2 linked regions of the Macaca mulatta genome follow. The protein of the gene in region 2 purifies or fractionates together with the protein of the main gene of each other region. This does not show direct contact. Links are inferred from orthologs where the notes say so. Each region holds a gene or a part of one and is shown on either strand. Other genes may lie near its edges.

Evidence for each region. Proteins that work in one complex are often made in the same cells at the same time.
Region 1: the proteins of RNF114 (region 2) and PARP12 purify together in Homo sapiens (affinity purification with mass spectrometry; 3 studies listed by BioGRID and IntAct, counting the BioPlex papers as one, with this or other methods). This does not show direct contact. The link is inferred for Macaca mulatta from reciprocal best matches to the Homo sapiens genes RNF114 and PARP12.

What each region holds. Positions count from the first base shown.
Region 1 is NC_133408.1:179,897,310-179,901,685, reverse strand, and holds the start of PARP12 (protein mono-ADP-ribosyltransferase PARP12), read left to right. Parts: upstream 1-1,576; 5' UTR 1,577-2,419; coding exon 2,420-2,745; intron 2,746-4,376.
Region 2 is NC_133415.1:102,783,190-102,786,941, forward strand, and holds part of RNF114 (E3 ubiquitin-protein ligase RNF114), read left to right. Parts: intron 1-2,525; coding exon 2,526-2,632; intron 2,633-3,279; coding exon 3,280-3,394; intron 3,395-3,752. UniProt on the Homo sapiens protein: E3 ubiquitin-protein ligase that promotes the ubiquitination of various substrates. In turn, participates in the regulation of many biological processes including cell cycle, apoptosis, osteoclastogenesis as well as innate or adaptive immunity.

The sequences.
Region 1 (4,376 bases), on a different chromosome or scaffold from region 2:
CTCCCTGGTTCAAACAACTCTCCTGCCTCAGCCTCCCGGGTAGCTGGGATTACAGGCACATGCCATCACACCTGGCTAATTTTTATATTTTTAGTAGAGATGGGGTTCACCATGTTGGCCAGGCTGGTCTTGAACTCCTGACCTCAAGTGATCCACCCACCTCGGCCTCCCAAAGTGCTGGTATTACAGGTGTGAGCCACCGCACTCGGCCTAACATTTTAAATTAAAAATTAACATTTTAGGCTGGGTATGGTGGCTTACTGTAATCCCAGTGCTTTAGGAATCTGAGGTGGGAGGACTGCTTGGGGCCAGGAGTTCAAGACCAGCCTGGGCAACATATGAGACAGTGTCTCTAAACAAATGTAAAAATTATCTGGGCATGGTGGCACGTGCCTCTAGGCCCAGCTACTTGGGAGGCTAAGGTGGGAGGTTCGCTTGAGCCCAGAAGTTCCAGGTTGTAGTGAGCTATGATTATATCGTTATACTACAGCCTGGGTGACAGACCAAGACCCTGTCTCTAAAACAATAACAACAAAAACAAAATTAACATTTTATACAATGAAAACATTAAAATCACAATTAAAATCAAAGAGAAAACCCCTCATTCCATTTCTAATTAAATTCATTTTCATTCGTCCATGTTACTATCTAGTCTTTATCCATACACTTTTTTTTATTTACATTTTTGTAGTAATACTACAGGTAAGATTTTCTTTCTTTTTTTTTTTTAAAGATGGAGTCTCGCTCTGTTGCCCAGGCTGGAGTGCAGTGGCATGATCTCGGCTCACTACAACCTCCACCTCCCGGATTCAAGCGATTCTTCTGCCTCAGCCTCCCGAATAGCTGGGATTACAGGCGCCCGCCACCACACCTGGCTAATTTTTACATTTTTAGTAGAGACAGGGTTTCACCACGTTGGCCAGGCTGGTCTCAAACTACTGACCTCAAGTGATCCGCCCGCCTTGACCTCCCAAAATGCTGGGATTACAGGCGTGAGCCACTGCGCCTGTCCTATAGTTAAGGTTTTTATATTCATTTTTAGTGAATGTTATACCATAAGTACTCTTCCCCCATAATCCTTCTGCCTCTCATCTTCCCTTTTCCATTTTCCTAGTACCTCCTACTGCCTCCTCTCAACCACCCTTGCGTGTTTCTTCATCTTTCCCCGTGCTTATTAAAAAATGTCCTGTCACACACACACACAGGCTTCTCTTTGTTATTAGACATTTAAAAAATTAATTCTTGATCATTCAACTTGATTTAGACATTACTGTACAGACATCTTTTCTCGTTTAACACCACATCATGGCTGTCTGTCCCTCTAGATCCACACAGGGAGATTTAACACATGCTTAAAGTCTTCATAATAGTCTTTAAAGATTAGCCACACTGTTCCCACTTAACCCTACCTCCCAGGTAGGGTTCCCCCAGTAACACTTTCACACATAACTTATTTACTGTTCCTTTTACTTCTGGAAGATTCCGAGAGGAAAGATCGCTGGGTCAAAGGTCACGTGCGTTTTCAATTTTAATAGCTATTCCTGGATTACTTTCCCAAAGGGTTCTAACAACTCGCATTGCTCTCAACACGTGTGAGAGGGTCCTTTGCTCTGACAGGTCTTCTGAAATACTTGCTCAATCGTTACTTAGCAGGGGATTGTAACGGATTTTTTTCTTTTTCTCTTTTGAGACGGAGTCTAGCTCTGTCGCCCAGGCTGGAGTGCAGTGGCGCGATCTCGGCTCACGGATTTGTTTTTTTAAAGAACATACCCTTTTATATTTAAATGAAGGAACTCATTGATGCACCGAGGCGAAAGGAACATTTAATTAAGCCTGTCTTCCTCTGCGGAGTGATCGCTTTTGTCACTTGTTCGAGGGGTGGGGGCTCCCGTCAGTTGTCCCTGTTTCTGTGAGACGTCTACCGAAGCCCTGGCTTGGCTTTAACCTGGCTTGGCTTTAACCGCTGAGCGGCTTCAACCGGCGGCGTCCAGCTGGCTCCGCCAGCGCTGCCGCCGCCCTCGAGGCTCTCTGACTGAAGGCGCTCGGAGCATCGCGAAATTAGGGGCTCCTGGTCCCTCAAACATCCAAAGAAGCCATTTTCAGGGCCTAGGGACTGGCCCCCCGCGAGCCGCCACAGCCCCCGCCCGCGAGCCGGGCCGAACGCCCGAACTCACGAGCTCCCGAGCTCCCGTCGGGCGGCGGCCTCACAGCTGGGGGCCCTGAGGCGGAAGGCGCAGCCGCTCAGCTGCGGGCCGGGGGCGTGGCGAGGGCGCACAGGTTCTGTTTTTCGCCGGCCCGGGGCCGCTTTCGGTTTCGTTTCCCGCCGGCGCCTCCACTCTGCGAGAGCCGCCCGCCAGCCAGCGTCCGCCGCCGTCCGCGTCGAGCCATACGCGGTCCGACGGGCGCAGGCACAGCGGCCATGGCCCAGGCCGGCGTCGTCGGTGAGGTGACCCAGGTGCTGTGCGCGGCCGGGGGCGCCCTGGAGCTGCCCGAGCTGCGGCGCCGCTTGCGGATGGGCTTGAGTGCCGACGCGCTGGAGCGGCTGCTGCGGCAGCGTGGCCGCTTCGTGGTGGCGGTGCGGGCGGGCGGCGCCGCCGCGGCCCAGGAGCGCGTGGTGCTGGCCGCGTCGCCGCTGCGCCTGTGCCGCGCGCACCAGGGCTCGAAGCCGGGCTGCGTGGGGCTCTGCGCGCAGCTGCACCTCTGCAAGTTCATGGTCTATGGCGCCTGCAAGTTTCTGAGAGCCGGGTAAGGCGCCGCACCGGGAGCGACGGCCGGCAGAGGCCCCGCGCACCCACAAGCACTTCCAGCCCGCTTGGGAGTCCTACTTGAAGTTTGAGCATACAATTCGGTGGCTCTGCCCTGGCCTCGCCCCGTCATACACTAAAGGGAGCGTTTATTGAGCACCTGCTGAGTATCTGGCACAGTGCGAGGGACTCGGGGTCGAGTGGGGTCCTCTAGACGCCTGGGGAGAGAGATTGATTTACATAGAGCGCGGTAGTGCTGGGTGGGAACACCCGGGTGTGGCCGTGTGGGGTAGGGAGGTAGGGAGGCGGTGGCCTAGGGGAGCTCCACGACGCCGCGGGTCCCCCCTTGCCAGCTTTGAGAGCAGACAATGAAGGTTTTCTCTGCCCAGCAGCTGGAAGAGATCTTTAAACCCCGTTCAACCCTATTTATCTGTTTACAAACTGGAAAATGCAAGCTCCCTGCCATCGCCCACAGGTCCTGGGGCACTGGTCCCTGCCCACTCGGTACCCTTCTGTGCCTGGAACACCCCCCCCCCACCCAGCCTGGGTATTTCTGGGAGCCTGAGCATTTCTGGGAGCCTTTGCTCTGCCTGGAGTGCCCTTCCTGCTCTTGGTTGGCCCTGTTTGTTAATCCTTCAGGCCTGAATCTAAAGATCACATCCCATTTGAGGGCTTTTCCTCCCCTTACTCTTGGTCACAGGGAACTGTTTATTTTCCTCATGGCACCCACTTGCCAATAGAATGGAAACTCCCTGAGGGCAGAGGCCTTAGCTGTCTCCCCAGCACTTAGCGTCCATGTTCTGTGCATAGCACGTGGTCAGTGGGATGTGTGGAAGGGATTGCTGAGGTTTATGTCTAAGAATTTGGGCCTCACCCTGAAGGTGATGGGGCGGGTAAAATGGCAGGAGAGAGCAACCATCAGGTTTGCATTTTAGGAAGTCTTAGGTAGTGGTGTGGGTGCCAGTTTAAGGGAGGATGTTGTGGGGAACCACTGGGAAGCTAGTCATGTAGGATAATTCCTTCCTCCCCTGCTCCCTCCTTTCTTGCTTGCTCCCTGGTGTGTGTGTGTCTGTCTGTCTTAATAGAGTAGATATTTCTTGCTCATGTCAGGCCCAGCAGTGAGCATGGGGTGGGGGGCCTTAATCCATACAGTCATTCAGGGATCCAGGCTGACTGACCTCTGCTCTGTGCCCCTCAGCACATGGCTCTTGAGGCCAGCCTAGGTATCCAGTTCCAGGGGGCTGATGGAAAGGGGGTTGCATGGGAGGTTTTTGTGGGCCAGGTCTAGAAGTGGTGGATTTCCTTTCACCCACATCCCATTGACTGGAAGCTGTCTGGTGACCCTGTCTAGATGCAGGGTGGCTGGGAAAGGTAGTCTCTAGGAAGCAGCTGTCTGGAAGTATCCAGATTAGAACTTTCCAAGGGCTATGTGTGAGAAATTTGGGAGAGGTGAGTTGGTGATGGTGTGGTGAGAGGATATCAGGTGACAACTCTTCAGTCTCTGTTCCTACTGTGGCATGGGTGTTGTTCAGTGAGAGAGCAAGAGAGGGTTTTAGTTTGGAAACATGCCCAGGAGGCAGCTATTCAGGTCAGAAGCTTCATAGGAAGGTCAGGGCCCCAGTGTGCTGGGCT
Region 2 (3,752 bases):
TGATTCAGTTTCGAAAGCTACATAACATTTTCTGCCCTTTGACAAATTTTTACCAAAAGTTGGTAAAAACTGTAGAATGTTTACCAACCCAGTTGTAGAATTTTTGCAAAATGAGATCACACTATAATATATATGTTTCTTCAACTTTTTTCACTTGTTTAAATGTACATTCATTCCCAACTTTTTTTTCACTTTCAGTTTTTTTTTTCTCTTACATATTGGACAGCCTTGCATGTCAGTTTCATTATTTTTTAACACTTCGGTATGGATGCCCATAGTATGAATATACCTTACCATCTCCTTTTCAGGGTGATTTAGTATTAGCGATGCATAGTAGGACCATTTTAATGCTGAATAGGGCTATTTTCTATATCTTAATTGGGGGCTTCACTATTGAGGCTGGGCATGGTGGCTTATGCCCGTAATCCTATCACTTGGAGAGGCCAAGGTAAGAGAATCACTTGAGCCCAGGAGTTCGAAATCAGTCTGGGCAGCATAGTGGGACACTGTATATACCAAAACAAGCCAACAAACAAAACTAGCTGTGTGTAGTGGTGTCTGCATGTAGTCCCAGCTCCTTGGGAGGCTGAGGTGGGAAGATTGCTTGAGCCCGGGAGTTTGAGAGCAGCCTGGGGAATATAGTGGACCCAGTTTCTACAAAAAAAAAAATTGGGGATTCCTCAGTTTGTAGCTTAAAGTCAAGTTCTTTAGCTGGAGGTGAGACAATCATCATGGTAAGCTGGAGCTCCAATCTTGGAGCATTTTTCCCCCTTTGAAGTTTACTTTTAGAAACTCAAGATACTGAATTACAGTTTCCTACTGCCTTTTTTTTTTTTTTTTTTTTTTTTTTTTGAGACGGAGTCTCACTCTATCGCCCAGGCTGGAGTGCAGTGGCATGATCTCGGCTCACTGCAAACTCCGCCTGTTGGGTTCACACCATTCTCCTGCCTCAGCCTCTGGAGTAGCTGGGACTACAGGTGCCTGCCACCACGCGCGGATATATATATGTATACATATATATGTATATATCTCGTTTTGTTTTGTTTTGTATTTTTAGTAGAGGCAGGGTTTCACCGTGTTAGCCAGGATGGTCTCGATCTCCTGACCTTGTGATCCGCCCACCTCGGCCTCCCAAAGTGCTGGGATTACAGGTGTCAGCCACTGCACCCGGTCTCTTCATCTTTATTTATGCATGCATAATGTGGTTTTTGGTTTTGTTTTGTTTTGTTTTGTTTTGTTTTTTGAGACGGAGTCTGGCTTTGTTGCCCGGGCTGGAGTGCAATGGTGTGGTCTCGGCTCACTGCAACCTCTGCCTCCCTGGCTCAAACCATCCTCCCACCTCAGCTTCTCAAGTAGCTGGCACCACAGGCATGTGTCACCACGCCCACCTAATTTTTTTTGTATTTTTAGTAGAGACAGAGTTTTCATGTTGCCCATGCTGATCTGAAACTTGGGAGTGCAAAGTGATGGTCCACCTCAGCCTCCCTCAGGATTACAGGTGTGAGCCACCACGCTCCACCCATGATGAGCTTTTTGTTTGTTTTACTGTGTGCTTTTGCTTTTCTCCATTTTCAAGATCAGTTATTGTATGGTTGGCATGCCTCTAAAAATGTTTTTCTTTCCTCCCTCTTTTCTTCAATTCTTAAAACTTTCTTTCTTTTTAGAAAACCTGTAATGAAGCATTATTCTCTGGGTTTTCTTCTCTTTCTATTTTACTATTGCACAGCCTAGATTTTATGTGAAAGGTTGGGCTAGGCATGGTAGCTCACACCTGTTAGCCCAGCACTTTGGGAGGCCAAGGCAGGCATATCACTTGAGGTCAGGAGTTCGAGACCATCCTGGCTAACATGGTGAAACTCCATCTCTACTAAAAATATGGAAATTAGCTGGGCATGATGGCACACGCCTGTAACCCCAGCTACTCAGGAGGCTGAGGTGGGAGAATCACTTGAACCCGGGAGGCGGAGGTTGCAGTGAGCCAAGATGGTGCCACTGCACTTCAGTCTGGACAACAGAGTAAGTGAGACTCCATCTCAAAAAAAAAAAAATTTAGATTTTAAAGATTATTTCTCAGAGTCTGGTGATTGATACTTTAATCAGGGTTGGTGGCTTTTATACGTTTTACCTAAATGATCACTTTTCTCTGCTGCACATAACAGAATGTGGTTTTTGGCTTGCTATAAGGAGACTAGTTTAAATGCTAGTATAGAAAACTTTTAACAACATCCTAGATTTGGAACTTGTCTGTGAGCACACAGCCTGTCATGAATAGGAGCAAACCTCTAGAAGAGTTATTTTAGAGTGGAAGCGGATATCCTGATTTAGTCAAATAAAATAGCAGCCTTGTTATTAATGGGAAATCTGCAATAATCAGGGTTTCAGCCCCATCAGCATAGTCAGGAGTCTGGTGAGATTATTTGCCAGGGTGGTGTAGGTCTAGTTTTCTTTGCGCCCTTGTTTGGGACTACATTTGGCCTGTTACAAGGTCCTCACTAACTTGTGGGCTCTGATTCTTCCTATTTGAGTTCTTCCTATCCAAGATCCGGTCCCATGTGGCTACTTGTTCCAAATACCAGAATTACATCATGGAAGGTGTGAAGGCCACCATTAAGGATGCATCTCTTCAGCCAAGGTAAATGACTCAGTCTCCCCTTAGGTGGAGGTCATCTCTTGCTATTAATACAAAGAGGTTGGACACCTTGCATGGTCAGGGGTTTAGTTGTATGAATTGTTATGCTGGCTAAAGCTGATACAAGTATTTTGGGAGGAGTATGCAAGGGAGGACTCTGGTGTTCACTTCAGATGTTAGCTGAGCTATTCTTTTTTTCTTTTTTGAGATGGAGTCTCGCTCTGTTGTCTGGGCTGGAGTGCAGTCGCGCAATCTCAGCTCACTGCAACCTCTGCCTCCCGGGTTCAAGAGATTCTCCTGCCTCAGTCTCCCGAGTAACTGGGATTACAGGCACCTGCCAGTAATCCTGACTAAATTTTATATTTTTTAGTAGAGACAGGGTTTCGCCATGTTGGCCAGGCTAGTCTTGAACTCCTGACCTCAGGTGATCCTCCTGCCTTGGCCTATTGGGATTACAGGTGTGAATCACCATGTCCGGCTAGCTGAGCTATTGTCTTCAAAACACTTGATCTGAGTCTAAAGTGATCATCAGCGTCCTTGTCGTTACACATTCGGTGAGCTTTGCTCCTTTTGGGAGTGTACTGTGGTTGAAGTTGAATGGAAAGGTACTCACAGAAAAATTTTCTTTTTTCCTGTCTTTCACCTTCCAGGAATGTTCCAAACCGTTATACCTTTCCTTGTCCTTACTGTCCTGAGAAGAACTTTGATCAGGAAGGACTTGTGGAACACTGCAAATTATTCCATAGCACGGATACCAAATCTGTGGTAAGAGTAACCTTTTTTTTTTTTTCCTCTTAAACTCTATTATGGGAAAGGATCAAGCTTGGAGAAAAATGATGGGATTAGTAAAATGAACTCCTGTGTGCCCTACACCTAGATTCACAGATTGTTAACATTTTACCATATTTGCTTAACCATGCTCTATAATACACACTTTTTGCTGACCACTTGGGAATAAGCTACAGATACCATGACTTTTTTGCACCCTGAATAGTTTGCACCCTGATACAGTAGTGTATATGTCTTAAGAACAAGAGTGTTTTCCTGGAAAATTATATTTTTGTGTGTATAATCATATTCAAGAAATTTAACATTGATACAATCTAATATCTAACATAAAATT